Linked DNA regions of Arabidopsis thaliana. The protein of the gene in region 1 interacts with the protein of each later gene in a biochemical or structural test. Each region holds a gene or a part of one and is shown on either strand. Other genes may lie near its edges.

Evidence for each region.
Region 2: the proteins of RBX1 (region 1) and RCE1 form a complex in vitro, tested with the Arabidopsis thaliana proteins (one study listed by BioGRID).
Region 3: the proteins of RBX1 (region 1) and TIR form a complex in vitro, tested with the Arabidopsis thaliana proteins (one study listed by BioGRID).
Region 4: the proteins of RBX1 (region 1) and DET1 form a complex in vitro, tested with the Arabidopsis thaliana proteins (one study listed by BioGRID).

What each region holds. Positions count from the first base shown.
Region 1 is NC_003076.8:6,954,377-6,961,708, forward strand, and holds RBX1 (RING-box 1), read right to left. Parts: upstream 3,936-7,332; 5' UTR 3,846-3,935; coding exon 3,710-3,845; coding exon of another isoform or gene 3,656-3,709; intron 3,583-3,655; coding exon 3,532-3,582; intron 3,438-3,531; coding exon 3,378-3,437; intron 2,965-3,377; coding exon 2,893-2,964; intron 2,720-2,892; coding exon 2,648-2,719; intron 2,567-2,647; coding exon 2,529-2,566; 3' UTR 2,284-2,528; downstream 1-2,283. Other genes in the region: AT5G20560 (Glycosyl hydrolase superfamily protein), read left to right, coding at 992-2,005; AT5G20580 (TMEM192 family protein), read right to left, coding at 4,414-4,503, 4,657-4,719, 4,904-4,996, 5,161-5,220, 5,374-5,433, 5,615-5,699, 5,836-5,929, 6,548-6,603 and 2 more. UniProt on the Arabidopsis thaliana protein: Component of the SCF (SKP1-CUL1-F-box protein) E3 ubiquitin ligase complex, which mediates the ubiquitination and subsequent proteasomal degradation of target proteins.
Region 2 is NC_003075.7:17,338,917-17,346,603, forward strand, and holds RCE1 (RUB1 conjugating enzyme 1), read right to left. Parts: upstream 4,120-7,687; 5' UTR 3,668-4,119; intron 3,275-3,667; 5' UTR 3,233-3,274; coding exon 3,121-3,232; intron 3,034-3,120; coding exon 2,925-3,033; intron 2,831-2,924; coding exon 2,752-2,830; intron 2,655-2,751; coding exon 2,538-2,654; intron 2,459-2,537; coding exon 2,321-2,458; 3' UTR 2,016-2,320; downstream 1-2,015. Other genes in the region: AT4G36791 (uncharacterized protein), read right to left, coding at 1-161; AT4G36795 (uncharacterized protein), read left to right, coding at 1-206, 240-245; GGPS1 (geranylgeranyl pyrophosphate synthase 1), read left to right, coding at 4,597-5,712. UniProt on the Arabidopsis thaliana protein: Accepts the ubiquitin-like protein NEDD8/RUB1 from the ECR1-AXR1 E1 complex and catalyzes its covalent attachment to other proteins.
Region 3 is NC_003070.9:27,435,276-27,441,991, forward strand, and holds TIR (toll/interleukin-1 receptor-like protein), read left to right. Parts: upstream 1-3,964; 5' UTR 3,965-4,200; coding exon 4,201-4,655; coding exon of another isoform or gene 4,656-4,659; exon of another isoform or gene 4,660-4,698; intron 4,699-4,796; coding exon 4,797-4,872; 3' UTR 4,873-5,189; downstream 5,190-6,716. Other genes in the region: AT1G72910 (Toll-Interleukin-Resistance (TIR) domain-containing protein), read left to right, coding at 359-813, 925-1,612; AT1G72920 (Toll-Interleukin-Resistance (TIR) domain family protein), read left to right, coding at 2,672-3,135, 3,230-3,593.
Region 4 is NC_003075.7:6,342,255-6,350,863, reverse strand, and holds DET1 (light-mediated development protein 1 / deetiolated1 (DET1)), read right to left. Parts: upstream 4,454-8,609; 5' UTR 4,322-4,453; coding exon 4,250-4,321; intron 4,169-4,249; coding exon 3,506-4,168; intron 3,432-3,505; coding exon 3,240-3,431; intron 2,942-3,239; coding exon 2,873-2,941; intron 2,778-2,872; coding exon 2,721-2,777; intron 2,615-2,720; coding exon 2,534-2,614; intron 2,452-2,533; coding exon 2,290-2,451; intron 2,218-2,289; coding exon 2,122-2,217; intron 2,050-2,121; coding exon 1,950-2,049; intron 1,858-1,949; coding exon 1,718-1,857; 3' UTR 1,550-1,717; downstream 1-1,549. Other genes in the region: AT4G10170 (SNARE-like superfamily protein), read right to left, coding at 5,513-6,277. UniProt on the Arabidopsis thaliana protein: Component of light signal transduction machinery. Involved in repression of photomorphogenesis in darkness by participating in the CDD complex, a complex probably required to regulate the activity of ubiquitin conjugating enzymes (E2s).

The DNA.
Region 1 (7,332 bases):
TTATAAAATAGTATGAGTCTTTAGCCATATTTGTTTGTGTTTAACCCCCTTAATTATTGAGGTAACATGACCCCATACTTCATACTGTTTTTAGTTCAAAAACATTATTTCTTTTTAAAAAATATTTAGTTTACAGTTTCATATTTCATGCAAATATTTATTTTTAATTTTTTATCGAGGTATCAAATGATATACATGCAAGGCTGCAACCAAAACAAAGATCAACCAATCAGAACACTATTTTTGCATTTATATCTTTGGTCTTAATTAACATGAGAATATAAACAGCGAGTTAGCAACATTCATTAGGATTTTCCTGTTTAAACTCCAGATATCGAATTGCCATACCGCAATTTTTTTGAAAACCAACAAACTCTTCGATTCAGCAACAGAACATATTAATTAGCAATGGATTTGAATTTGTTTTCGCTAAAGTGAGTTAGCAACATTCATTAGCAAAGTGTCGTCTTGTCGAGTTGTCGTGGTATTACCCATCCGGTGGGTTCAATTCATATTGTGTGTGTTGTATGTGAAATTAAAACTGTTAATAAGACAAAACCAAATTTGTAAATAATTTGACAAGTATAAGGTCTAATCTCATAAGAGATAAACAAAATAGAATAAAATAAACTCAAACTTGCAGAGATAAACAAAATAAAATAAAATAATTAGGAAACATATCATATTTTTTTTTTTATAGGAAACAGATCTTAGACATGTATAAGGTCTATCTCACACTCATTAAACAGGGAACAGTATCTCAGACATATATAAACTCAAACTTGCAAGCTTACACGAAACAAAACAAAAAGAAAACAAGTTTGGTTCTTTTCGTCTCGGTTCTTCAGGCAAGTATATATGATCATGTGGTGGTGTTTGAGTTTCTTGTATGTAAATGTTATACGTCTGTAGATACACTCATTGTATATATCTAATATTCTAATACAACAACTTTTCTGGCGCTATTGATTTTGCAGAGACAAGTTATATCATGGAGGACTATTCTAAGAACTTGTTCCTATTACTTTTCTCATGCACAGCGTTGATTATCAGCTACTACAACGTTGATTCTTTAAGTACTGCATCAGTCGTCGGATTGAATTACGGACTCCTCGGAGACAACCTCCCATCTCCGTCCAATGTTATCAAGTTCTACAAATCTCAAAACGTTGCGAAAATCAGGATATTCGAGCCAAACAAAGACGTCCTAAACGCTTTGCGTGGAAACCGAGATATTGGAGTCACCGTAGGCATCAAGAACGAAGACTTGGAGGCACTTGCAGCCAACAAAGACGCAGTTAAATCCTGGTTCTCCACTAACATTGATCCTTACATAGCCGACGTGAACATAACATTCATTACCGTCGGAAACCAAGCCATCCCGGGCGACAAACATGGCCCTCACGTGCTTCCTGTCATTCAATCTCTCACCGACCTCGTCAAGTCAAGAAATCTCCAGATATCAATCAGCACCACGGTCACTACGACGAGCCTCGCCAGGTTGAAACCGCCTTCTGCAGGAGTTTTAACACCCCAAGCACGTCAACAGCTTGTCCCCGTGCTGAGATTGTTGTCTCAAACAAGTACACCGATCTTCGTCAATATCTATCCTTACTACTTCCATGCCTCCGACCCAAAGAACGTCCCTCTCGAGTACGCCAATTTCAATAACGACCAGATCGTGGTCAAAGACGGTGCACTAAAATATTCCAACTTGTTTGATGCAATTTTCGACGCTTTTCTGTGGGCAATGGAGAAAGAGGGAGTGAAAGGTTTACCTTTGGTGGTGTCGGAGACCGGGTGGCCCTCTGCCGGGAATGGAGGCATGACGACACCGGCTCTTCAATATACGTACATTGGTAACTTTGTGAAGCATGTTGCAAGTGGTAAAGGAACGCCTAAGAGGCCAAATAGTAGAATTGATGCGTATATATTTGAGACGTACAATGAGAACCAGAAGCCAGTTGGAATCTATCAGCATTTTGGGTTATACGATCCTTACTGAGACGACGCCCATGTACACGCTCTTCTGATCCTCGATGTTGTGTTCAAGTGGTCAGTTTTTACTGTTTCTCTTAAGAATCTGTGTTGTCAAAATAATGCTCTAGTATTGTTTGTTTAGGGGTTGAAAGACCCATTTAATAAAACTTATGGTTTATAATCTAAGTGGGTTTCGAGTTAGCCTTATTAGAAATTTCACTTTAGTATTTGGAACTACTAAATTGAAGGAAAACACAATTGAGGATCAAAAGAGCGTTTGGTACCCAGCTCCTATGTTTTTTTACGAGTAAAAAACTCTTTGCAGGATTTTTACTTTTTAATTTTGAAATCAAAGACGTCACCCAAAGCACAACCATAATAGGTTTAGTGAACACTGAACAGTAAATCTCTGTTTCCACAAATTGTAAAATACAGTACCAAAAAAAGGGCAAAAACTTGAACAATCTTTAGTTATCATATGCGGTGGTAACCAAATGAACCTGATGTCTTCACGATTAGACACATGCTTGCTGGAACCATTTGTTGATTTAGTGACCATATTTCTGAAACTCCCACTCACTGTTATCTGTTGAAACAACTCAGCAATATTAGCAAACAAACAAAAACTGCATACTAGTCAAGAAGCTTAAAACCAAGAAACACATACCCAATGGACAAACTTGACGAGTCTTTAGCCATCTGCTGATGCAGTGAAAGTGGAAGGCGTGATTGCAAACCCCTGCAAGTACATATTGAGTATCTTTCGTTAGGGAAGGCACTAAATAATTTATGTATATCCACTTGAGTTGTCACATTATAGAAAAAAGATTCGAAAAGGTCATCACACAATCACATACATCTTAAAGGAATACTTCCTACTTTCTCTAATACTTCCTAGCTAACAAGATTCACCCTCCAAGTGGTCATCTTTCATTGAGCAATCAAGAATACAGAAATACTTATTGCAGTTATTTTGGTCGTCCTCTGAGTTTTTAATTCATCATCAATCGTACAATCAACTGCAAGACTATGAAAGCATGTAAACACAATAACTACAATTTGGTCTCTCTCTCTCTCAGAAAATCTTTAAAACTCCATAAATCTAATCAACTGTACTACTCATCGACCAATCTAGATTGCTGCAAAACAAGGAACAGGGTCTGCTCTCAAATAAAGCAAAGACATCTATCAGAGTGATACTACCACATAAGTAAAATTCAATGTCAAGTTTTAAAACACGCACTCAGAGATACTAAAATTGTTTCACACAACACTTTCGCATACAGTTTTGTGTTTCTAGATTCACAATTACGATAGCTACAATTATAAACCAAATCAAGTTTCCAAACAAAAAGCAACGATTGAGATCATGATCATAGAAGAAGAAAAATGCTTACCCCAAGCTACAGTGCACTCTTCACTTGTGGCACTGGCCTGATTAGCCTGACACTCGATACCTAACAACAAACCAAAACACAAAAACGAAATAAGCATAAACATTCAACATCATCGTTACAAATTCCAAAATCAATCGATTGTTTTAAGACTTACAAAGATCCATGATGTGGTTTCTGCAGATCGCACAGTTGTCAACAACGATATCTGCAACCAAAACAAAGATCAATCAATCAATAAAACTCTTAACCTAACCAAAAATTAACATCGTAACACAAACATCGAAACATCGAAAGACCAATTGAAGATAGTGTATAAGGATTTTCGAGGTTACCCCAAGCCCAGAGAGCAACGGCGCTCCACTTCTTAATTTCGAATCGCTTAGCTTTCTTGTTGGAAGACGACGCGGCTACGCTGCTGGAGGCTTCTCCGGCAGGAATCATGGTAACGTCGGAGTCTAGAGTCGCCATTAATCTCTGATCGGAAAGAAAATTTAAACCCTAGAAAAGCCGGAGAAAAATATCAACGTTTGAGCTGTCGCTGATTTTGTTGTAGAGAGAGATTGTAGAGGAAGAAGAAGAGAGATATATAAAGCAGCTTTGGGCTTTGCCTGTATAGTGGGCTTTCGTCGGAATTAGATTCCCGTAAATTTCCATAATTCGGTTTAAGGTTTCCTTTTTTTAATCTTACTCATCCTACGATTTACATAAATATTTTAATTTTTCCTTTATTATCCCAACGATTTTTATTTATTTAATTGATAAATTAAATATTTTTAAGCAAAAAGATTACGGAAAATATCTATTTTATATAATAAAAAAAACATATATATATATTTTTTTCTAACTATTCCCAGAAGATTTACAATAACTATATGACTAATTAACTAATCATTACATACGCTTAGTTCAAATTAACTGGAAAATCATTACATCATAAAAGCTTAGCGTATTCAATGCATCAAGATGTTAGAAAATAGTGTCAAGATATTTTTCTACAAGCCATAAGAGTTGCATATAGTTAGATGATGTATATGCTTCATGCCACCTGCCTCTGGTCTCTGAGAGCTGAAACTTTCTTCCGCAGTTCAATATTTGATATTCTCTCCACCTCCAGAGCTCGTTCAAGCTACACAATCCGTTGGTTTTGGTTTAGCCTCTCATAGTAAACAAAAGGGTTTGAATTCGATAAACTCGATATTGGCTTAAGATTTTTCACTATCATATTGCTGCATCTCTAAAACATACAATGAAGAGAGAGAGAGAGAAGAGAAGATTGTACCTTTGCAGCTCGCATACTCCATTCTCCAAGAATAGCTCTTAACCTTTCATTTTCTGCTACATACTGTTTCAGGAGTTTCAAAAACAAAAGATGATGAGTTCAGGGATCAGAAAAAATGTGTAGCCCTTGCAAATTGTTTGATGCAAAAACAATTCATGGTAAAGCTGTGTTGATGATAAACATGATGTGATGCTGTGAAAGTATGTTTTGTTCTCATATGTTCTTATGTTTATAGATAGACTCGAACCTGATTATTGGTATTCCGGACGTGTTGTATCTCTCTATCTCTCTCAGAGATCAGAGATCGAGCGAGATTAAGCTCTGAATGGAGTTGATCCACCTGCAAGACACACAATTTTCATTTAAAGATGCTACATCAAGGATACTAGCCTTGAAATGTCAATCAACTATGATATGTTTTCCACCAAATGGGTAAAAGAGAGATGAGAAAGAAAAATTAACCATGGGAATTTGCAAGTTTATCATTTGTTAACCGAGCTTTACCTCAGCAGATAGTGTTCGTAATTCCTGATCTCGAGTTGCCACAAGATGCGCCAGATCAACCTGAAAGTTTAACATTTATCAAATGCAAAAATTAAAATCCCAGTGGAAGGAAAAAGTTATACATTACTTTTAAGAAAATTTATTAAGAATGTTGTTAGAATGTGTACACGCTGATAAAAAGAAGTCAAAAATTCAGAATGGAGCAGTTCAAACCTGAGGCGTGCTACTACCATTCGTTTCATATTTACTTAAGGACTCCTGCAAACGCAGAATCTGAAACAAAACAAGAGAGGTCAGAGACTCACTCTAACGAAAGCATGGGAAAATTCAGAAAATTAGGGTAGACAATGAAGAGCTAGAGAGAGCATTGAACTTAGAATTACTAGTAAGAAACATCACAAGCATCAAGATTCAGAAATGAAGTACTCATGATAAATATTCCATGGATTGTCACCTCTTCACTGAGATAATGGAGATTCTCGCGTTGATATTGCAGTAGAGCCATTTGTTGATCAGAAAGGCGACCGGCTTCATGGTATCTGTGTTTCAAGCAAAAAAAACGAAGTAAGACTTGAGAATTGTAAAAACATTTGCCATTTGCAATATAAGGTTGCGAGGTAAAGCAAAGTTTTCATGAAGACTAGGAATAAGGTTTCAGTGAGATTGTGAAAGTACCTCAATCCTTCCAAAGCAGCTGGTTGAAGAGGAGAATATAATGAATTTAAGACATCGGGCTGAGAATTCACTGAGTTATACTGGCGAACATAACCTACCAGTATTAAAATACAGATAAGAACAGCTGCATAATAACCTAGCAACAGAATCTCTTACTAAAGACAAACAACAGAAATATTGTAAGGAAAAAAAGATGCCAAAAGAACACAATATGCTCTAGCCAATCGTTTTTTGAAGACACGGTATGGAAATTTCTGCATCAAGAACAAAGAGTTTTCAAACTGAAACCCAGAACACAAATTCTTAAATGATCTCCTGATACTCAACCACAAACTATAGCCAATTGTAAGAACTGTATACATGATAAATGTAAACACAAATGTATGGCCGCAGATGTAGACAATTTTGATAGTGATTTAGCATGCATATGATCGCGATAGATCCCAGATGCAAATATGCAATGGAATGGTTTCAGTTAGTACACCATAAGAAATGAAAACTGATTATAAATCTGACACTTGGCAATCATGGCATGAAAAATTTAAGATGAAGAAAAACCATCACGACGTAACAGCTGAACCTGGTGTATTTCATATATCTCGCAAATGGAAAGCGAATCGATTTGGCACTATACTGCTCTATTTGAGATACTAAAATGAAGCTCAATGCATGCCTGATAGTATGAATATGATTATATGGACCTTATTCTTACCAACAAATACAATCATAAAAGAAGCAGCAGAAATTGCTTCAACAGACATGATGAACCTGCAAAATAAATATACTCGTAAGCTTTTTCGACCACGCCAAAACTAAACTTACTTCACCCAGTTGTTCTAAAATAAAAATACGCAAGACATTGTCCAGTTCAAAATCCTATTTCTAGTCAATGGCATCAATATTAAACTTCTTATATGCATTCAATTTTAGCTAAGATATTGGTAAATAAGTTAAGTCAAATTTCTCAACCTGAGTAAATGAAAACAGATTCTCATTAACTTAGACGTTTCACTATGACACTATGTGATGTGCAATAATTTTCTTAGCGAGACAAGTTAAAGGCTTGAGTCAGAATCTTCCTACCATTCTTTATTGTCAAAGACAAAAGAAAGAAAACAGAAAATGTGATCAACTGGAAAAGAAAAACTCATAAGAGTGTAAAAGCAGTTAATGTATAAAAAGAAGGCTGCAGACCTTTGCACAGTAAAAATGGGTAGAACACTGACATATGGTCTCCACTCCATGAAAAGTAGCATAGATGCAGTCCCTAGAACAACACGGAGTCACTTTATTGAGCACAAGAAAGGTATATATGTAACAATTTATGACTAGGAAAGTAGCATTAAAGATTACCATAGGCCATGATTGCAAATGGCAGACGAACTACATGTTTCAGTTTCTGACTGAAACTGTAATAACCCTGCAATGGAAGGTTCTTTCAGATGAAATGATTACAACTACACTAGAGAATATCAACCTATTTCTATACGGTTTACA
Region 2 (7,687 bases), on another chromosome or scaffold:
TTCTTATTCTCCCTTCGTCTCTCGATATCTTCTCTCATACTCCTTCGTCTTCGGAGGTTTTCTTTGACATCAAAGGACGTCGTCGGATCTTCAATGCTCTGGTTCGGGAGATAAGGATCAATAACAGCGTTGGGTCTTGCCGTCTTGGATTGGATTCTCATAAACAGCCCAACAGAAAGCCCATTCAGATACCCATTAAGAAACAGGTCAATTTCTATCCCTTTATTAATTTTTAATAGCTTTAAAATTGTGATATTGTTTTTATTCGGATTTTATAAGCTTTTTACACTTGTATTTGTTTTTAAAATAATATATACAAATATAAATTTGGATTCAAAGTTTACATAATGATAGGAAATGTAACCGGATTTTGGATCCAGCTATTATGTAGATTTATCATTCAAATTTTTAATTCGGATTTTTAAAAAATAATTTTTAAAACTTTTATTTTGCTATTATGATATAAAAAGCTTTTTCCTCTTGTGTTTGATTTTTTTTAAAAGTATTTGTTTGGATTCAAAATTTACATAATGATAAGAAATCTAACCGGATTTTGGATCCAGCTTTGGTCGTTAGTGATTCCAAATATTCAACTTGTTTTTCTTATTATTATTTAGATTTATCATTCAAAATTTTAATCGGATTTTTAAACATAGTTGTTAAAAATTTATTTAGTCTATATTCGGATTTTTAGAAGCTTTGTTTTTTAAAATAAAAATATTTATTTGGATTCTAAATTTATATAATGATATGAAATCTAACCGGATTTTGGATCCAGCTTTAGTCGTTAGTGATTCCAAACATTCAACTTGTTTTTCCTATTATTATCTAAATTTAGAATTCAAGTTTTTAATTCAGATTTTTTAAATTGTATTTTTGTTTCTATTCGGAATTTTATAAGTTTTTTCACTTGTATTTGTTTAAAAATATTGGATTCAAAATTTTTATAATGATAAGAAATCTAACGGAATTTTGGATACAACTTCAGTCGTTAGAGATTCCAAACATTTAACTTGTTTTTCTTATTGTTATCTAAATTTAGAATTCAAGTTTTTAATTCAGGTTTTGTAAAATTGTGTTTTTGTTTCTTTGGAATTTTATAAAAATTTTCAAACTTGTATTTGTTTTTAAAAATAAAATATATAATGATAAGAAATCTAACCAAATTTTGGATATAGTTTCAGTCGTTAGAGATTCCAACCATTTAACTTATTTTTGTTTCTTTGGAATTTTATAAATTTTTTCAAACTTGTATTTGTTTTTAAAAATAAAATATATAATGATAAGAAATCTAACCAAATTTTGGATATAGTTTCAGTCGTTAGAGATTCCAACCATTTAACTTATTTTTCCCATTATTATGTAGAATTAATATTCAGTTTTTACGGATTTTTTAAAAATATCTTTTAAATTATTAATTTTTTTCTTTCTAATTTGTGAAAGCTTTTTTATTGTTTTGTTTTTTCAGAAAAAAAATAAATATATTTCTTCGGATACTAAATTTACATAATATTTTACAAAATTTACATAATTATGTGAAAACTAACCGGATTTTGGATCCAACCTTAGTAGTTAGCGATTGTAAATATTTCAACTTGTTTTTTCTATTATTAATCATTCTAGGTTTTCATTTGTTTTTTCAAAAATAGTTTTAAAATTTTGAGTTTGTGTCTTTTCGGACTTTTAAAATTATTTTTCTTTAATCAAAATACTAAATTGATATAATGATTAAAGACAGGAATTTGGATCTAGCATTAGTCGTTAGGGATTGTAAACATTTGTTTTTTCATATTATTCCTTAGGCCATAGCAAGACTTTTTAAAACAGAATTGAAGCTTTTTTTAAAACCGAATAAATCAAAACGTGTGTACAAAAATATGAATCAAACGTTGAATGAAATCGATTATTTTCTAGATATCAAAATGGAAATCGAATAGGATAGATGTGATTTATATTTTAATCTAAACCTGAAACAAGAATATTGTTTTAGCAAACCCGAACCAAACAAAAAAAAATCCAGTTATGAAGGCTATATTTCAAACAGTATTTCGAATGAAATTTAAACAAATGATTTATAAGGAACCCAAGAAATGACAAAGATCAAACATGTTATACAATTCCTTTTAGTCTCCTTTATCGAATTCTCACGAACTTAAAGTTGACAAGATTTCGATATAAGGAAAGGGTTACTTTAACGCGGAATGTAATTTTACAAGATCAAACAAACAAACGAGGGTCCTTGAGAAAGAGAAGAAATACAATGGCGGACAAAGGGTTTGGTTCTTATCTTTTTCCTTGAAGAAGACAAACCAGAGCTTTGTTAGATACAACGCGGGAAAAAGGTCTGACCGACATATCCACCGGTCATGGCCCTGCGAACATTGGTCTCAAAGAGCTTTGGGTTATCCCTCAAAACTGCTGCAGCATCATGGTTCAAGGGATCTTCAGAATTGGGTTCCTGTGTGAAAAACAATCACTCAGTTCAGAAACCAAATAACACAAAAACCTTTGTTTGATCGAACTGTCCGGTTAATTACCGTGAACAGATGGAAGAGTCCGTAGATAACTGTGTTAATGTTAAGAACAGGTTTCCAATCTTCACGCAAGATGTTCAGGCAAACGTTTCCTTCCAAATCGATATTGGGATGATAAACCTAAACAAGAAAACCAACAAAGAGTTTCTACAACACAAACGATTTTGAAGTAGAAGCTGTAAACTATATAAGGCATGTAAAAGGAGGAGAGGCCTACCTTGGTTTTGCATTTAACTTTTGGAGCTTCATGTGGATACACAGGAGAGACTTGGAATGTGAAAACAAACGTACCATTGCTGTTTATTTGGTAAGAAAGAAACAAATAAGTTTCCAAAAAGTTTTTAAGAGACAAAAACGCAGGTTTCAGTGGGAAAAAAAGCACTACTTAACTGGTAATATCCATCATCAGGTTTAATGGATACTTCAAAGTTCATCAAATCATCTTTGCCATTTGGAAAAGATATTGAACAAGAGCTAGGAAGGTTCAACTCTGATATATCTGCACAGTTCAAAATCGGAAAAAACACCAAAAATTGAAACTTGGAGATGCAAGAACAAAAAAAAGATCAACAAGGCATTTATATACCTTTGTGAAGACGAAGTTCGCCAGCAGATTGCTTCTTAACAGAAGCTCCTCCTCTAGTAGCATTTTGAGCTTGTTCTCTTTGCTTTTCCTTTACTTTAAACAACCCAATCATTGTTTCTGACTTCTCTTAAGAAACTCACACCCACACACACAGCTGTGACAAATCAAAGAATGAATGATTAATTCTATGACAGATCAAAGAAGACCTTAAAAAATCGATCCTTTCGATATATCAAATCACAACTGCAACTAAACTCATATGCCCACTTTTATATTAATCTTGGTAACATAGCTTATTAGACTTTCACACAATAATTGAATCCCAAATCATAAGATCCCTAAAACAAAGCTATAACCAAAATCTCAGAAATGAAAACGCGTTATTACAAGACAAGCTAATCTACTTTAACAGGTTCAAAGATCGAAGACTTTCCTTCCACATAAGTAGAATCAGAAATCTCAAAACAACGACTAGGTCGAAACATCGAAAGTTAAACACCAAGACAATCAAACAAAGAGAATGAAGGAAGAAGAAGAAGAAGCTTACAAGTTGTTAAATTCGTTGCAAAAACACGAAAATCAAAACGAATTACGAGCGAATTAAAAAGGTCGCCGATTGATTAATCTCTCTCTCTCGCCTACCGGATTGTCGTCCTCTGAAGCTAAACGACGAAGAAACAGCAGAGAAATGGTTGCAATAATAATAAACACACAATCGTAGCTTTTTTCTCGACGCTGAATCAGAATAATTCAAAAATCTCGTACCTGTTTGTTGAGTTCCAGCTTGGCCCATTAAAGCCCGTTAGGCCCATTTCAGTTATATCTATCTTCCAACAATAAATTTGGTAGTTTGCGCGCTTTTAATAAGTTAAAACCAAGCAGTTGTCAGAGATCAACGAGCTCGTGTAAAATGTCCACAAGTGGGACTTGTGACCCGTATGCATTTTTTATGCCATTTTTACTAATTTCGTGTAACAAATCTACAAAACAAGATAATCATTAATCACTACGTAATCATCTAAATTCAATGTGTGGTATAGAAAAAAATAACAGATGAGATTTATGTGTTTAAGATTTTGATATTTTACCAAAACAACAATAGTATATATTTGTGGTATAGAATTGAAAATAAAAAGAAAAAAATCTAAAAAACTGACAAGTAATTTATCTGTAATCTAAGCCAGAAAAATATCATCTTTATGCTATAAAAACATTTTCCATGGACTTAAAAACAATAAAACAAAAACAGTGAAAAAAGAAAAAAGATGCTTTTCAATAAAAGTGAAGATCGTCATCTCCACCACTAACAAGGCCCATTCCGTAACACAACCCTATCTGTTACTTCCTAGCTTCTCACTAATGGCCAATCCAATTCTCCATTCATAATTTTGACTCCACTTTCCAAAAAAAACAAAAAAAAATAAATACTAATATAAAAAATTCTCAAATCTAAAATTTCAGATTTCAGAAATCGCCATGGCTTCAGTGACTCTAGGTTCATGGATTGTTGTTCACCACCACAATCATCATCATCCATCTTCAATCCTTACCAAATCCAGATCCAGATCTTGTCCTATAACTCTTACTAAACCCATCTCCTTTCGATCAAAACGCACCGTTTCATCATCTTCTTCAATCGTTTCTTCTTCCGTTGTTACAAAAGAAGACAATCTACGCCAATCTGAACCATCCTCTTTCGATTTCATGTCGTACATCATCACCAAAGCCGAATTAGTCAACAAAGCTTTAGATTCAGCTGTTCCTCTCCGTGAGCCACTCAAGATCCACGAAGCGATGCGTTACTCTCTTCTCGCCGGTGGCAAAAGAGTTAGACCAGTTCTCTGCATCGCTGCTTGTGAACTCGTCGGAGGTGAAGAATCAACCGCTATGCCAGCAGCTTGCGCCGTCGAGATGATTCACACCATGTCGTTGATCCACGACGATCTCCCTTGTATGGATAACGACGATCTCCGCCGTGGAAAACCGACCAACCACAAAGTGTTTGGTGAAGACGTCGCTGTTTTAGCCGGAGACGCGCTTCTCTCTTTCGCTTTCGAGCATTTAGCTTCGGCGACGAGTTCTGATGTTGTTTCTCCGGTGAGAGTGGTTCGAGCCGTTGGAGAATTGGCTAAAGCGATAGGAACAGAAGGGTTAGTGGCGGGTCAAGTCGTGGATATTAGTAGTGAAGGGTTAGATTTAAACGACGTCGGTTTAGAGCATTTGGAGTTTATCCATTTGCATAAAACGGCGGCGTTGCTTGAAGCTTCTGCTGTTTTGGGAGCTATTGTTGGTGGAGGAAGTGATGATGAGATTGAGAGGTTAAGAAAGTTTGCGAGATGTATTGGTTTGTTGTTTCAGGTGGTTGATGATATCTTGGATGTGACGAAATCGTCGAAAGAGTTAGGGAAAACTGCTGGGAAAGATTTGATTGCTGATAAGTTGACGTATCCTAAGATTATGGGTTTGGAGAAATCGAGAGAGTTTGCTGAGAAATTGAATAGAGAGGCTCGTGATCAGCTTTTAGGGTTTGATTCTGATAAGGTTGCTCCTTTGTTGGCTTTGGCTAATTACATTGCCTATAGACAGAACTGATTTGTGTTCGATTCCTTTTGTCGGGAATCATTATTAGATTGGAATTGTAGAAATCTCGGACAGGTTCTCTAGAGTTTGTTGGTGTAATCATCTCTATGTTTTCATGTACTAAAAAATTTGGATAGTAATGGATGAAATATGAAGAGGTTCATGTGTCTGTAATAGAGTCCCTGGTTGGTTTCAGTCTTTTTGAGTATTAAACTCTCTGTTCTTTTGGCTCGTATTTGTAATGATGAACAATGTGTTTTAGGACAGGAACTCTGGTTGGATCTGATAGATTCGCTAGTTCTTGCCTTATTGGTGTTCAGATTAGTTATCCAAAGGTACGGCGTTGTTTTGGGGCGTAAAACCAATCAAGTCAACGGAGCATACAGAGTTTAAGATGGACCGAGGCGAATACAATACATTAATAATTATTACTATATGTTTCTTGAATGGGCCAATCTCATTTGTTGGTTCCCAAATTAAAAAGCCCAATCCAAAAACAGAGTTCCAAAAAGCCCATTTAATTCTGCTTAGTACCATTTTATTCTGCTTATTCGAAGTCTTATTCTAGCTGGCACCAACAATTTTTATTTTTATTTTATGGCTTTTTCATCGTGAAAATCACTTATTGAATAGCAAACTACTGTTAGTTCGAAATCTGATATATATATATATATATATATATATTTTTTTTTTTTTGGAACTGACTATGATTATAACTTCTAATTAAGTCTTAAGTCTATAATCTTCGAGAATCATCAAAAAATGGCAACTTCAGTTGAATAAAATATGCCACCAACCTAAAACCATATACATCGATTCACCAACTCTCTTATTGGAATCAATGCGATATTCGATCTCAATCTTGTTGTACGATCGACTTCTGCATAGGATTTGCTACATTTGCTCCGTACACAACTTGCCGTTTTATTTATTTATTTAAAATCAATTTTTTACTCATATAAGTAATAAAATTTTATGGTGTATAATCAATGTGTAATGGCTTCCGTTCTTTTCGGAATATCCGTGTCTTGTGGTGTTGGTACAGGTAGCGTGAAAAATTTAGGATTTTTATTCTCACTTTCTTAATAATATCTTTCATTTTTTTTTTTTTGTGAATCTATGTTTTCAGTTCATTTCCTATTCATATATGCCATGTGCTGATGTGCATAGATTCGTCTAATAAGAATATCACATTATAAAAAATATTCTAACGTACGTGAAAATTAGATGTACCAAAATGGTTTATGTGATGTCTCATGTCTTAATTAGACCGAGATAATCGTTGAGTCGGAACTATGTAGTATAAAATAAGTTTGTTGACATAGCAAGGCATATTTAAACAGGGTTTACATGATCTTGATTTAAACACACACTAAATTTTTATTATCTCCATCACCATCAAATTTGAATCAGCAGTACAACCAAGATAACATGTATTTGGATTTAAACGTAAATATCAGGTTTATCATTTTAATTCTACGTGTTTATAAATTATAGAGAAAATTATATTTTAATTCTACGTGTTTATCATTAATTTTATTATTTATTTTTTCAACATGTTTATCCGGTGATGCTATTTTGAAAAACAAATTTGTAGATAAAACAGAAAATGTGGCGACACGTCCGTGTGTTTAAATTTACTGAATTACCTAACCAGACACAGTAGTTACATCCACATTACATCACATTTGTTATCTCTTTATTAGGTGTGCAAAGGATAAAAACGAAAAATGTGGCAACACGTCATTGTTTCAAATATTTACTAAGTTTTCCTTATATAGACATTATTACATCTCAAAAAATCATCTCTTCAACATTACCATTTACTACTAGATGCAAGAGATAATAACAAGATAAAACAGAAAATGTGGCGACACGTTTTTGCCTTTCTTTTTAATTCTGTTGTGTAATTTACTCATAGTCAAATAAGTTATCAAGATATTATATCTTTTTAAAATTTAATCGGACGGTTATTGAGGCATCGAAA
Region 3 (6,716 bases), on another chromosome or scaffold:
CATTCGTTTGATCGATAATCAAACAAACATTTGAATCTTCTTCAACCAATTAAATTAGACTACGAGTAACTAAATGCCAATACACGAGAAAAGTAAGAGGAGAATTTGTGTTCGTTAATATGTTATCCATACTCATTATCTTACTTTGGCGGCCCATCTATTCTCTTCCCTCTTTCTGAGTAGTTTAGTGAAACAGAAGCTGACAAGAAAAAATAGAAAATGCCAGGAAACACACAGTTAGCAGTAGGAAGACTCTTTGTTCTAGGATGACTCTTATAGGTCAACTCCTGTAGTGGTAGTGCCTATAAATATCCTTGAGTTCTTTATTTCTATCACTCATTGAGAATCAAAAATCAAAATGTCTTCTCATACTGCAACTAAGTACGATGTTTTCCTAAGTTTCAGAGGGCATGACACTCGCCAGAACTTCATCAGTTTTCTCTACAAAGAACTGGTTCGAAGGAGCATTCGAACCTTCAAAGACGACAAAGAGCTGGAGAATGGCCAGAGGATTTCGTCGGAGCTCAAACGCACCATCGAGGTGTCAAGATTCGCCGTCGTTGTTGTCTCAGAGACCTATGCTGCGTCTTCTTGGTGTCTCGATGAGCTCGTAACGATCATGGATTTCGAAAAAAAGGGTTCCATCACCGTGATGCCCATCTTCTACGGCGTGGAACCGAATCATGTGAGGTGGCAGACCGGAGTACTCGCTGAACAGTTTAAGAAACATGGGAGTAGAGAAGATCATGAGAAAGTGCTTAAATGGAGGCAAGCATTGACCAATTTTGCGCAACTCTCCGGCGATTGTTCAGGGTGAAATTTCGTAACTTGATTTTTTTTTTGAGTTGAATCAAAAAGATTGAATTTTTTATTGTTTGATTTGAATCGATGCTAAAGTTTGGATTTTTTTTTTTGTCTCTGTAGTGATGATGACTCGAAGCTGGTGGACAAAATTGCTAACGAGATATCAAACAAGAAGACGATTTATGCAACAATAAACAATGGGAAGAATCTAGTTGGGATTGATACACACATGAAGGAACTAAACCGATTAATGCATATGAATTGCAACAAAGTTACTGTAAGAATGGTTGGGATTTGGGCAAGAGGAGGCGATGGTAGATCAGCTCTAGCTAAATATGTTTATCAGACATCTTGTCAACAGTTTGACAGCCATTGTTTTCTTGGAAACGTGAAAACGATTTCTCAGGGTCGCCACTCAGCGCATCTACACGACGAGTTTCTGAGAAATATTAAAAGAGAAGACTCTAACAAACAATGTCTTAAGAATCAAAAGGTTCTGCTTGTGGCAGACAACGTTACTAAGGTTAAACAGTTAGAAGCTCTTGCAGGGGATTTCAGCAGTTTTGGTCCTGGGAGTGTTGTTATTATCACTACAGACAACAAGGGGTTGTTGAATTCTTATGGTATAACAGATGTCTACGAAGTTGAGCATTTGAAGTTTTGTGGAATCTTACGATCATTGGGCTTTAAAAAGAGAGCTGCTGCGTTCCAGCGGGCTTTGTGTAGAGCAAAGAGTTTTGCCACGGAATGTTTTTGTTGTCAAAGTAGTAGTATATCTGGTTATGGGAAAGTGACAGATTTAGTTTAATTAAGTTGAATCCCTTATTAGTCATATGCATTAAGTTAAGTAAACTTAATAAGTTGTGTGGCTTAGAAATAATATTGTTTTGTCTATTTTTGGAGTGGGTTGCTCTTGGGGTGTAGAAAAATGTCACTCTTCATTGGATTAAGTAATATACATTTTTTTGTTCCTTAGTTTTTAAGACATTTTTTTACATCTGGATGTGCCAGTTGTTTGTAATATACTGTTCTTTCCTTATAGAAATAAATATTACACAATTTTTTAAAAAAGATTTATGTATTTGGGAGGGTTTTTTGATGTTTGGACATGCCCAATAAAATTAAAAATTAATACAGGAGACACAAAGTCGCTAACTTTCCAAAGTTGGAATCTACATATGTCTAAAACAGAGAAGAAAAGCTTTTAAACTTTTTACATGACGATCCTCCAATAATAGTAATACACTACTACAGTTCAAAGCCACTGACAAGTTTCTCGCTTTTTTCCCTTAATGAGAAACTCTTTTAACCTGCTTTTCTGATTTATGCTCTTTGGGTACGTGGAAGATTTCAATCACAGACTAACGTAATTAAATCATTTATTGGAAACTGTGAGTCAAGCTGAATAAACTTGATGCAAACGAATAGATATGAAAGAAATTGGGTTGATCAACAAAAAAACAAGCCGACAAAAACTGAATCTCATGATATGTTTTCGTCCGTCAGTTTTAACCGTTCGTTTGATCGGATAATCAAAACCAGTAAATGCCAATAATACACACCAGAAAAGTAAGATGATAATTTTTGTTCGTTAGTAGTATTTTATTATTATCATGCTCATCATTTTCTTACTTTGGCGGCCCATCTTTTCTCTTCCCCTCTTTCTGAGTAGTTTAGTAAAACAGAACCTGACAGAAAAAAATAGAAAATGCCAGGAAACACACACTTAGCAGGAAGACTATGGGAGTCTCTAACCAATGCACATGCTTTATTTAGTTCAACTACTCTCTAGTGGTCTATAAATATCGTTGAGTTCTTTATTTCTATTACTCATCATAGTTCTCAATAGAGAGAATCAAAAATCAAAATGTCTTCTCCTACTGCGACTAAGTACGACGTCTTTCTGAGTTTCAGAGGACTCGACACTCGTCGCAACTTCATCAGTTTTCTCTACAAAGAACTCGTTCGAAGAAAAATTCGAACTTTCAAAGACGACAAGGAGCTCGAGAATGGCCGGAGGATTTCTCCGGAGCTCAAACGCGCCATCGAGGAGTCGAAATTCGCCGTCGTTGTGGTCTCTGTGAACTACGCTGCGTCTCCTTGGTGTCTCGATGAGCTTGTGAAGATTATGGATTTCGAAAACAAGGGTTCCATCACCGTGATGCCTATCTTCTACGGCGTGGATCCTTGTCATTTGAGGAGGCAGATCGGAGATGTCGCTGAACAGTTTAAGAAGCACGAGGCTAGAGAAGAAGATCATGAGAAAGTAGCTTCGTGGAGACGAGCATTGACCAGTTTAGCGAGTATCTCCGGCGAATGTTCATTGAAATGGTGAAATTTCGTAGCGTTGGTTAGAAAGATTGGATTTTTATTTGATATGTCTCGTTACTAAAGTTTCGATTTTTATTTTGTTTTCTCTCTGTAGGGAAGATGAAGCGAATCTGGTGGACGAAATTGCTGACAAGATATCAAAAAATCTGATGACTGTTACAACAATAAGCAATGGGAGGGACCTAGTTGGGATTGATACACACATGAAGGCTCTTAACAAAAAATTGGATTTGAATTCCAACAAAAGTTTGAGAGTGGTTGGGATTTGGGCAAGAGGATACAATGGTAGATCAGCTTTAGCTAAATATGTTTATCAAGACATCTGTCATTGGTTGAAGGTTGGTTGGTTGAAGGTTTATCAAGATATCAAGACAGCTTCCAAACTTTATGTTTTAACTCGTTGGTTGAAGGTTGCACATTTGCTTCATAGATCACATCACTCTTTTAAAACTGAGTAGCCAGCCAATCAATAACCCGAATTTCACTGAGAAATCCCCACATTTGTTATGTTTCCATACTACAAAATCATCTATTGACACCACTAGTTAGCTGTGATCTTATAAAGATGAGTAAGCCAACCAAACCAATAACCCAAATTGGAAAATGTGAGTCAAGCCGAATAAACTTGATGTAATAACCTATTCGTTCTAACTTGAAATTGTTATTAAAATCATCCTTATCAATTAGCCTTTCTCGTCCGTCAATTGACTTAGTTCTAACCATTCGTTTGATCGATAATCAAACAAACAGTTGAATCTTCTTCAACCAATTAAATTAGACTACGAGTAACTAAATGCCAATACACGAGAAAACTAGACTAAGAGGAGAATTTGTGTTCGTTAATATGTTATCCATACTCATTATCTTATTTTGGCGGCCCATCTATTCTCTTCCCTCTTTCTGAGTAGTTTAGTGAAACAGAAGCTGACAAGAAAAAATAGAAAATGCCAGGAAACACACAGTTAGCAGTAGGAAGACTCTTATAGGTCAACTTCTGTAGTGGTAGTGCCTATAAATATCCTTGAGTTTTTTATTTCTATCACTCATTGAGAATCAAAAATCAAAATGTCTTCTCATACTGCAACTAAGTATGATGTTTTCCTAAGTTTCAGAGGGCATGACACTCGCCACAACTTCATCAGTTTTCTCTACAAAGAACTGGTTCGAAGGAGCATTCGAACCTTCAAAGACGACAAAGAGCTGGAGAATGGCCAGAGGTTTTCGCCGGAGCTCAAAAGCCCCATCGAGGTGTCAAGATTCGCCGTCGTTGTTGTCTCAGAGAACTATGCTGCGTCTTCTTGGTGTCTCGATGAGCTCGTAACGATCATGGATTTCGAAAAAAAGGGTTCCATCACCGTGATGCCCATCTTCTACGGCGTGGAACCGAATCATGTGAGGTGGCAGACCGGAGTACTCGCTGAACAGTTTAAGAAACATGCGAGTAGAGAAGATCCTGAGAAAGTTCTTAAATGGAGGCAAGCATTGACCAATTTTGCGCAACTCTCCGGCGATTGTTCAGGGTGAAATTTCGTAACTTGGTGATAAAGATTGATTTTTTTTAGGGTTTGTTAAGATTTGAGTTGAATCAAAAAGATTGAATTTTTTTATTGTTTGATTTGAATCGATGCTAAAGTTTGGATTTTTTTGTTTTGTCTCTGTAGTGATGATGACTCGAAGCTGGTGGACAAAATTGCTAACGAGATATCAAACAAGAAGACGATTTATGCAACAATATGATGAGTCCAGACGAGAAGAAGAAGAAGAAAGGAGAAGGCCCATAAGGACTCGCATGCCCAATCCAAAGTATTCCCAACACTAAGTCATTTTACTTAGTCTCTGTTTTCGATTTAGTTACAATAAGCAAGGAGTCTTCCACGATTACAGTTTCCATCTTTTCCAAGTTTGTAGAAGTTGTTACTCCACGTTTGTTTCCATGTTGTTTCTAGTTGTAAGGAGGTGTACTCCAAGTATTTATATCAATGAAAAACAAAACAAAAGGTAGTCTTAACTAACAATCGTTTATCAATTCTAAGAACTAGAATTCTCTTTGGTTTTGAAGAGGGACCATTACAATAAACAATGGGAAGAATCTAGTTGGGATTGATACACACATGAAGGAACTAATCAGCTCTAGCTAAATATGTTTATCAGACATCTTGTCAACAGTTTGACAGCCATTGTTTTCTTGGAAACGTGAAAACGATTTCTCTACCAAGTGTCGTTAGCTCAATTGGTAAAGACCTTAAGCGAAAGCTTCGCTTAGGGTCGCCGGTTCGAGTGACGCTTGAGACGAAACTAATATTACATGATGTGGTTTCGGGTCTGGGTGGATTACGGGTTTCGTTCAGAACCTCCTGGATTTCAACAAAAAAAAAAAAAAAAAAAAACGATTTCTCAGGGTCGCCACTCATCTACACGACGAGTTTTGAGAAATATTAAAAGAGAAGACTCTAACAAACAATGTCTTAAGAATCAAAAGGTTCTGCTTGTGGCAGACGACGTTACTAAGGTTAAACAGTTAGAAGCTCTTGCAGATGATTTCAGCAGTTTTGGTCCTGGGAGTGTTGTTATCATCACTACAGACAACAAGGGGTTGTTGAATTCTTATGGTATAAAAGAAGTCTACGAAGTTGAGAATTTGAAGTTTTGTGGAATCTTACGATCATTGGGCTTTAAAAAGAGAGCTGCTGCGTTCCAGCGGGCTTTGTGTAGAGCAAATAGTTTTGCCACGGAATGTTTTTGTTGTCAAAGTAGTAGTATATCTGGTTATGGGAAAGTGACAGATTCAGTTAATTAAGTTTAAATTCCTTAGTCACATGCACTAAGTTAGCTAAACTTAATAAGATGTGTGGCTAGGGGTGTAAAACAAATATCACTCTTCATTAAATTAAGTAATATACACTTTTTTTTCCTTATCAAATCTGTGTTTGAGTTATAACCTAAATGTTTGTTGTGTGTCTCTTTCAAGTCTATATTTTCTTAAAAACAAAGTTTGTATAATTTCTTGGGATTCCCATGACCATTTGTTCTTTGAATACCCGAATTCTCAAAGGCAGTTTGGTTGTCAAATAAAGATTACACAATTTATAAAAAAAGATTTGTGTATTTGGGAGGGTTTTTGATGTTTGGACATGCCCAATAAAATTAAAAATTAATACAGGAGACACAAAGTCGCAAACTTTCCAAAGTTGGAATCTACATATGTCTAAAACAGAGAAGAAAAGCTTTTAAACTTTTTACATGATGATCCTCCAATAATAGTAATAGTGTAATGGTACTATACTACTACAGTTCAAAGCCACTGATTTATGCTTTTTGGGTACGTGGAAGATTTCAATCACAGACAAACGTAATTAAATCATTTATTGGAAAATGTGAGTCAAGCTGAATAAACTTGATGCACACGAATAGATATGAAAGAAATTGGGTTGATCAACAAAAAAACAAGCCGACAAAAACTGAATCTTATGATCTTTTTTCGTCCGTCAGTTTCAACCATTCGTTTGATCGGATAATCAAAACCAGCAAATGCCAATAATACACACCAGAAAAGGTAAGATGATAATTTTTGTTCGTTAGTA
Region 4 (8,609 bases), on another chromosome or scaffold:
GAAAGTTATGACTTATGAGATCTACAAATATATATATTTGTGAGTAAGTTACAACTGTCGGTCAAAATTACAATTTCTTTGTTTTGTTGTTAACATATATACTAAAGGTATGTTATTGGTTTATGATTTAAATAGAGTTTTAGTGACTTAAAATGTTATGTAGAATATGTTGTTATTCAATAAGATTTTTTGAAAAATTTGTTAAAGTTTTGTATTATTAGTTTAAGATTTGTGAAAAGTAATCTAAAATCTTCACAAATCTGGAGTTAATGGATTAATACTTTCATAAAGTCATTAATTTTTTTTGTTTTATTCAATTAAAACAAAAGAATCTACTATTGTAGATGAATTAAATTGTTTTGTAATTGGTTTATGACTTTCTACCATTTGTTTCACAAAATAAAGTCATGAAAATATCATTAAAATATAGAGATTGTTTGGAAACTTTATAAGATTGTAAAAAACCAATGTTCAAAAAATTGTTAGGCGTTCGATAGGGGCCTAACGCCTAGATCAATTAATCGGGGGCTAGGCAAAGCCTAGGCGTTAGCACATCATTTTACAAATTTATTAAACATTTTCATAATTTTATAACAAAACATTGGTTAAAATATATGAAATGTTGAAAATATTACCTATTTGAATTTATAATATATGTATATTCACACAAAATTTCTATGAAAACTAAATTAACTTATTCTGAAAATTTGAGAATAATTAATTGCTAACTTACAAGTTTAGTAATCAAGTACTTTTACTTTATTTTTCACTTATTCAAAACGATCATATTTACATATACTAAACTGGCCGATTTGACCGGTTAATACTGATTTTGAACGCTTAAACCGAAAACCCTATTTGATTCACCGATTTCACTAAAATCGGGCCGCCTAGGCCGATTTTTTGAACCTTGTGAAAAACTAATCAATAATATTATTGAAAACTCTCTACAAATAGTTTATAGTTTAGAATCTTTCATTTATTTACTTTATATGATATTATTAAAGTCTTCAAAATTTCTTTTTAGTTAGGAACCAATAACACCTCCTAGTTATTTCTTCCTTTTTAAGATTCAAACACTTTTTGCATGTATTATGTGTTTTGAGATACAGTAAAACCTCTATAAATTAATAAAGATGGAAGTATGATATTTTATTAATTATAGTGATTAATAATTTATCTATAATTAATATATTAATTTAAATTTAAATTATTAATTTATAGAGATATTTGTTTTAATTTTTCAAATTTTAGAAACTATGAGATGTTATAAATTTTATAGTAATATAATTGAAAATTTAATATTTAAAAAGCTCATTTGACAATAAATCACAAAAACTATAATTGAAAATGATGCATACTAAGAAATTAGAAACTTACAAAACATTATGGCTAATTTTTTTACAAAGTTATAAACGATTCTATAATTTGACAATTGAAAACCCCAACATAATTCAATCAGACTTAGAGACAAAACAATTGTTTGATAGAATAAAAGTTAGAGACAAACTCTAACAAGATTCAATACTTAAAAGACATTAAAACCATATTTTTATATAAAGCTTTCCAAAAGATTATTATATTATTATTTTATCGAAGTTTGTTAATTTTTACATCGGCCCAACTCGGAATTTATAGAGGTTTTACTGAACTTTTGTTACAAACAATAGATTACAACATGTAGGAAGACTACTAGACTGATAGAAACCAAAAAGAGTCATCGCCTAAAATGGATATTGACGACAGAAGGTGGCATGAAAAGTGTTTGTTGAATAGAGATGGCAAGTGGTAAATGAGGATGGAACAAGAATGAACATATCTTCTTGCTTCGACCATCTGCAGTTCCACACTCTGGTCCTGTTCACCATTAGACAATCCTAACGTTAAATCATGTTCCGTGCGGTTTGGGTTTTCGTCATCTTAATATCTAAACAACTAAAACAACCAACCTGGTTTTATCTTGAATTTCAGGGTTTGCGGTTGCCTTCGAGATATGAACTTGATTGGGTTGTCTGAGGATTGCCTATGCCTATCTGCTGCGGATATTAACTGTAACCATATCCGAAATTAACTTAACTCAATCCTGAAGTTGAAGAGAATAAGGGTTTATAGAATGGTTACCTTTTCATCGAACCGGAAGAGAGACTGGTCGAAATATGGGGAGGGACTTTGTGACTGACAACTGAAAGGCAAAGAGAGTAACATCTTCTTCACAAACTGTATAGAAAAATTGATTAGATTCAACTCTCTCATAAAAACCAACATATCGAAATACAGAGATGTACTTACCTGAGAAAAACTGTTTGATTTGTTCTTCGTGTATTTTAGTTGTTCAAGGGCATAGACGTTGTTAGAATGCGATGTTACAAAGTTCATGAACGGTGTACTACTTGATACTGTAAAGTGATCACTGAACTGCTCAAATAATTGGTAAAGATCTTCTGCTGAGTTCTGCATATAGTAATGTACTAAGTCAAGTTATAAGTAGATGCAAATTCCACAAAATAACTGGCCAAAATGACATCCATTTTACCTGATAGAATGCTACAATGTCAGTAGTCTCCATATTATACACCGCGAAGAAAGCTGGATGATGATCAGCACTTCTTGTTACCTGAGTAACCCATCAACAATCATAAGTCTAATCAATCAAATTGTAATTTCTGAAAATGACAGTATCAGTTCAATGTAACCATGAATTTGTATTATAGAGAGCTTACCCCACCGTCTACACTTCCAAATTTGATTAGCAGGTGTTGTCGATCCAAAAACTGAACCTGGACATCAAGAATACACAAAAGATTAGTTTTTTTCACCATCAAATCCAAACACTTGACACAGATTCCAAAAGCAGAAACACATAATTGATTACCTTCCATATAATCAAGTCGACATAATCCTGGAAATGGAAATAAAACTTCTTCTTAAGACTTTGAACTCTCTGTCAAATCAAATAGTGCCTTTCGATTAGTTCGTATCCAAGATGTAGTGTTTCAATACGACACACATTGCAAACTACAACGAAAGGTCGAAAATGCAAAGAGCATGTATATGATAAGCTGCATCAACTAAGAAGTCACTGTCAACTGCATCAATCCTAAACCTTAAACTTCTGTTATCCTACTCAACATCTAACAGAGGAAGCCAAGCAGTACACAAACATAACCCATTTAATGTACAAGATTGTGAAACTCAGAGCAATTTCATAAAGTGATAAGAGAAGTTGAAGAACAACGAACCATTACGTTATCTGATTCTTCATTCCAAATCTCCCTGAAGATAAAAGAAAGTAACCGTTGCTTAACACCACTAAGAAACGAATTCGAACCACTTGGCTGACTTAGACTATGACGCAACCCATTCTCTCCAGTATCATCTTCCTTACTCCCAGATAAACTCTGCTGTTTACTCTTATCTTGACTCATCATTGCCTAACAATCAAAAACCTCACAAAGCTCAAAACTTTATCTACTCCAGAGAAAGATACTGTAAAAACTTTGCTTACCTGAGAGCTAGAATTGAGGAAAAGCTCATCATCTTCACGACAAAAGTAACCAATAGCACGAGCATCAACAAGATGACCAGAATCTCTAATCTGAAGAAGATGAATCCTCTGATAACGCAACGACAAAATCGCTAAAAGATCATCATAAAGAAACACACCCATATTATGAGCCAGATTAACGAAATCATGAAGAAAAACCCTCTCATCAAGAACAACACCATCATCTAATCGAAGAAGTACGAAAGTAATCTTATCAATGGAAGGAACACCAGGAACAGCGTCATTAGAAGGAGATGATGAATCATGGATCTGAGCTGTTGAAGTAGCGAAAAGACCGAAACGACGAGTTTGGTGATAGAGGAAGAAGTCTTTGCAGATGAGTTCGTTAGAAGAAGCGAGATTGACTGAGTAGAGTTGAGTGAAAAAGCTGTCGAATTTCGAAGCACGGCGAGGTAGAGGAGGTAGGGTGGTTGTGGAATCATCGGTTGTGGAGTAAGTGAGCCAAGAAGGACGATAGACTATGAGTTCTTGATGGTTACGGCTGAAACTAATGAGGAAGAGTCCGTCTTCTGTGAATTTGCGGAAACAGTGATCGGGAGATTCGACATCGTAGAGTGTGTAGCTTGGGACTAGGTTTTCGTAGAAGTGTCTTGCACGATTTACCTATCATTGAAGGTAAAGAGATAAGCAAAAGAGAGATTGAGATTGAGAGATTGAGACAGAGAGAGAGATTTGGGGACTGACGGAAGCGCCGGGAGGAGGAGTTCGAATCTGACGTTCGAAGACCCGAGCGGTGACGTTACCGCTTGTGAACATTTGTTGGCCCAGAAGGGCACGAATAAAGGAAGGTTTTTGGTCTGGTTTTAGTGGTGAAAATGGAGGAGACGATGTGAGTGAGAGAGAGAGAGAGAGAGATACTGTGGCTTTGTTTTGGTTCTGTTGATTTTTCTCTTTTGGGAGGTTGGTTTCTCTCAATCTGTTAATGGGCCTGATATTGGTGTTTGAAAATGGCCCAATAGTTGCAAAATTGGGTCATTGGCACTTATCGGTACTACTTCCTCTTTGTACAATTTCTCTTGTTGTATTGCTTTGCTTAGTCGGAGCTTAAGTATGGACATTCACATTTTGGATCGGATTTTGGATCGGATTCGGTTCGGATTTTCGGATTCAGATGGGAAAGTTTATTATCCGGTCGGGTTTTATGACTATTCGGTTTGGTTTCGGTTCGGATAGTGTCGGATTCGGATCGGTTTTTGAGAAAAAAAAATATATATTGTTCCGTTTTAATAAAATTGGTTTAATTTTGCAAAAAAAATTGTATAATTGTAACAAATATAACTTAAAAATTCGGACGTATAAACCTGTAACTAATATTTTTGTTATTTAGAAATTTTTGGGTATAAACCTGTAACTAATATTTTTAGATAGATATAATTTTATTTCGGATTAGCGGATATTTATTCGGTTTTTGATTCGGAATCGGATTCGGCTGAAGTAATTTGGGTAGGTGAATTCATTATCCGTTCGGATTTTGTGACTGTTCAGTTCGGTTTCGGAACTTTTTTCGGATCGGTTCCTATCTACCTACCATTTTTTACTTCCCATTTTGTTGATCGGTAACAACAAGAACTGCAGTGGCAATACACTTGTTGGAACGAATCATACAATCAATACACTTGTTGGTAAAGCCTTATGCATCTCAAAGCCAGCTTCTTTGCTAGTGAGGGCCTTACTTAGGGAACTTGAAAGAGGATTGAGTTTGAAGTTGAAGCTCAAACAATTTAAATCATATAAAGATGGACGTTACTGTATCGTGAAGTCACAAAGAACACTGAACAGAATCTAGAATCCGACTGTACATATTTCAAAGCTGTGACTAAAGCAATACATAAGCCAAATTATAACTTAAGAATGCTTCACATTACAATCAACATATTTTTTGCCTATTGGAATGCACAAGGGAATGTAAAGAATCGACTCTGTTTATCCGATTTTCTGTCTGCACAATCACGAACGTGTACACTCGATACCCCGACATATAGCCAACCAAATACCAAACAGTGTCAAGCAAATAGCTGCATCAATAGCAAGAACAATCTGAACTAACCGCCGCCATTTCCATTCAAAGCTTTGAGTAACAGAACGTCCACTACTCGACACACACTCCTTCTCCAACGACGTTCCAGCTCCCGCTGAATCATCGGTTATGTTCCCTCTATCATTAGACTTCCTGTGTTCCTCAAGCTCAATCACATGATCTTTCCCTTTCTTCTTCTCTTGCTTACTTAACCTCCCCAACAACGGAGCTTTAGTAGAATTCGAACCTTCGCTTTGTTCACCAAGATTACTACTCTTCAATTCATTGTTACTACTACTCTCAGCAACACGTTCAAGAGAAGCTATAAGTCTAGTAACAACAGGAACAAGCTGATCTTCAACATTAATAGAACCAATCATAGCAGTAAAACTTCCTCTAGAATTCTCCCTAGCAGCTTTCTTAAATTCATCTCTCAAATGTTCAAGAAACTTAAGAACACTAGATCTCTTCAAAACCTCATCAACAATGGCGAAATAAACAAACCCATCTCCAATTAAAAACCCAAATCTTCTTTTACCAATAGTTTCAAAGTACCAAGTATGAAAAGGAGGAGACTTTTCTAAACACAGAGCAGCAAGACTCTCGTTGGTTTGGTCTCCACCGTTGTAAGAGTAAAGAATCTGATTGTCTCTTGAGACACAACAGTAATGAACTGTGTTCTTGATTAAACCCATCTTTTTTTTTGTTTTTTTAAGAAATCAAATTGAGACAGAAGAGGAAAGAAGAGAAGTCTGTGATTAGAGCAAAGAAGAAGAGAGAAATTGAGATGATGGAGTCAGAGAGAAAGTCAAAGAGAAGAAGAAAGTACCAACAAAATCCTTCGGCGATGTCTTCAAAATCGAGGATGAATTCTCTCATTCCTCTTCTTCTTCTCTCTAGGGTTCTTGGGTCATGTGTGAGCTTTTTGTTTGAGATGTTTATCTTTGTGATGAAAAAGTCAGAACTCGACGACCAAACTAGAGGACGTGGTCCACAACACTAAAAAAAATGTATTATTATTTTCTATATGTATGTAACAAATCGCAAATAAATTAGGGGAAATTGATAAAACTAGCATGATTTTTTTTGGTTAAAAGTATAAAATTAGCATGATTTCAAGTTAAAATTGGTAATGAATCAAATATTCATAAACATTTAGTAGAGATTTATACGCTCAAAATTAAGTAATTAAAGATTATAATACTATAATTAATTTAATGATAAAGACCGTAAAGACAATGACAAATTCTTGGCGAACTAAACAGAAATAGCGACGGACAACAAAAAAGATAACATTTTTGGACAAGATCTTATTCGATTAATAATAATTTAGGGGTTAACACACATGAGTAAGATCTCTTTCGCATTCGCTTGACGATTTTGATTGCGAGAGATGAAATTGAAAGAAGAAGAAATAAAAGTAGATGATAGAGATAAGATATCGTATAAAATCCCTTGAAGTTCTTTGACTTGAAGCTTCTGGTTAATTACTTTGACAAAGATTAGATAGTGAGAAGCGAAAGAGATGAACTTGATGTCCAATGCGATTGCAACTCCAACGGACAATTAAACTATTCATTTCTGCTAAATCGAGTTATTCAAGCTTAAAAGCGTTATTATAGTTAAGTATGCATAGATCATTTTTGTAATTCAATTTGGTTTTGTAGACTCTCTGTCTTCAAGAGGTGTAGTAGACGGTATAGTTCAGATGAGTATAAGAAACTGATTAGGTGATGCTAGCAGGAACTGATGTGGTTGCCGAAGTCCGGCCTGGAAAATTTTGAAGTCCTAAAGTTTTATTGTTGGTTCTTGCAGATAATTCACTTTCTTGGATCCTTTACTAAATTTACATTTAAAACTCAAGTATTTGGCCAGTTATCGGTATTACAAATCAATTTCCCAAAATTGCTTTCGATATTTCTCATAAAAATGAGCTTTTTTAAAAAAATGATGGACTCTTAAGCCATGCATATTTTTAAAAAATGATGGACTCTTAAGCCATGCATATTTTTTTCCATCCCGCTTGGGAGTTGGATCGGACATGAACTACCGAGATCATACATTTTGATGCTTAAGCCAAGACATCTTCCATTAACATTTACTCATTTAGGCTAAATTTTATATTTCTATTAAATAGATTTTAACTTACGGTATATTGCAAGACAATTAATTTAATATAGTTAGTATATATAAAAGTTTGCAAATTGTATCTATCAATAAAATATTTATATTTTATAGCTTACAACTGTTATAAAATAACGGTATACCACGAGTCCACGAAACAATTGTTAATCTACTGAAAATTTAACCTGTTTTAAAGCGGCATGTTAATAAAATTTTATAAATATATTGATTCAAACCTGTCCGCCACATAATCTCGTTCTGAAATATAACATGTCTAATAATTTTTTTAACTCGTCCCATGATTTGTATTCTAAAAATAGTGATTTTTAAAATTAAATAATCATTTATTATAGATAAAAATTTAAATTGTATCATTGAGACATTTATATTTTATGGTTTACAATTGTTATTAAGTAACATTATACCACAAAACTCTTTTTTTGGTTTTGTACAAGTTTTTCTAAATCAGACTGATTTGATATGTCTAATATTCGTGGTGTTAAAAATAATAAATTAAGGATTTAACCCGTATTAAAACAGCAAATTAATAATAAATTTTCTTTTTTTATTAATGGTGATTCAAAAACCCGTTCCACCAAACTAGTCCCACCAAAAAACCTATATATATATATATATATATATATATATATATATATATATCAAATGCATTTAAAAGGCAATTTGAGGCCAATATGGTGTTTGTTTAAGGCTAGAGGAGAGAGGAAGATTGTTTTCTAATAAGAGTTGAAACTCTTTGAAATGTGATGATGTTCACGAGAATTGGAATGGAGGAAAAAGAGAGGACAAGTTGGATGATCTGCAATCTGTTCTCCTCCTCATGAGTGAAGTTCTGTGGTGTGTTTATGGGTCAAAGATATAGCAAGTTAGGTTTTCTCTTAAGGT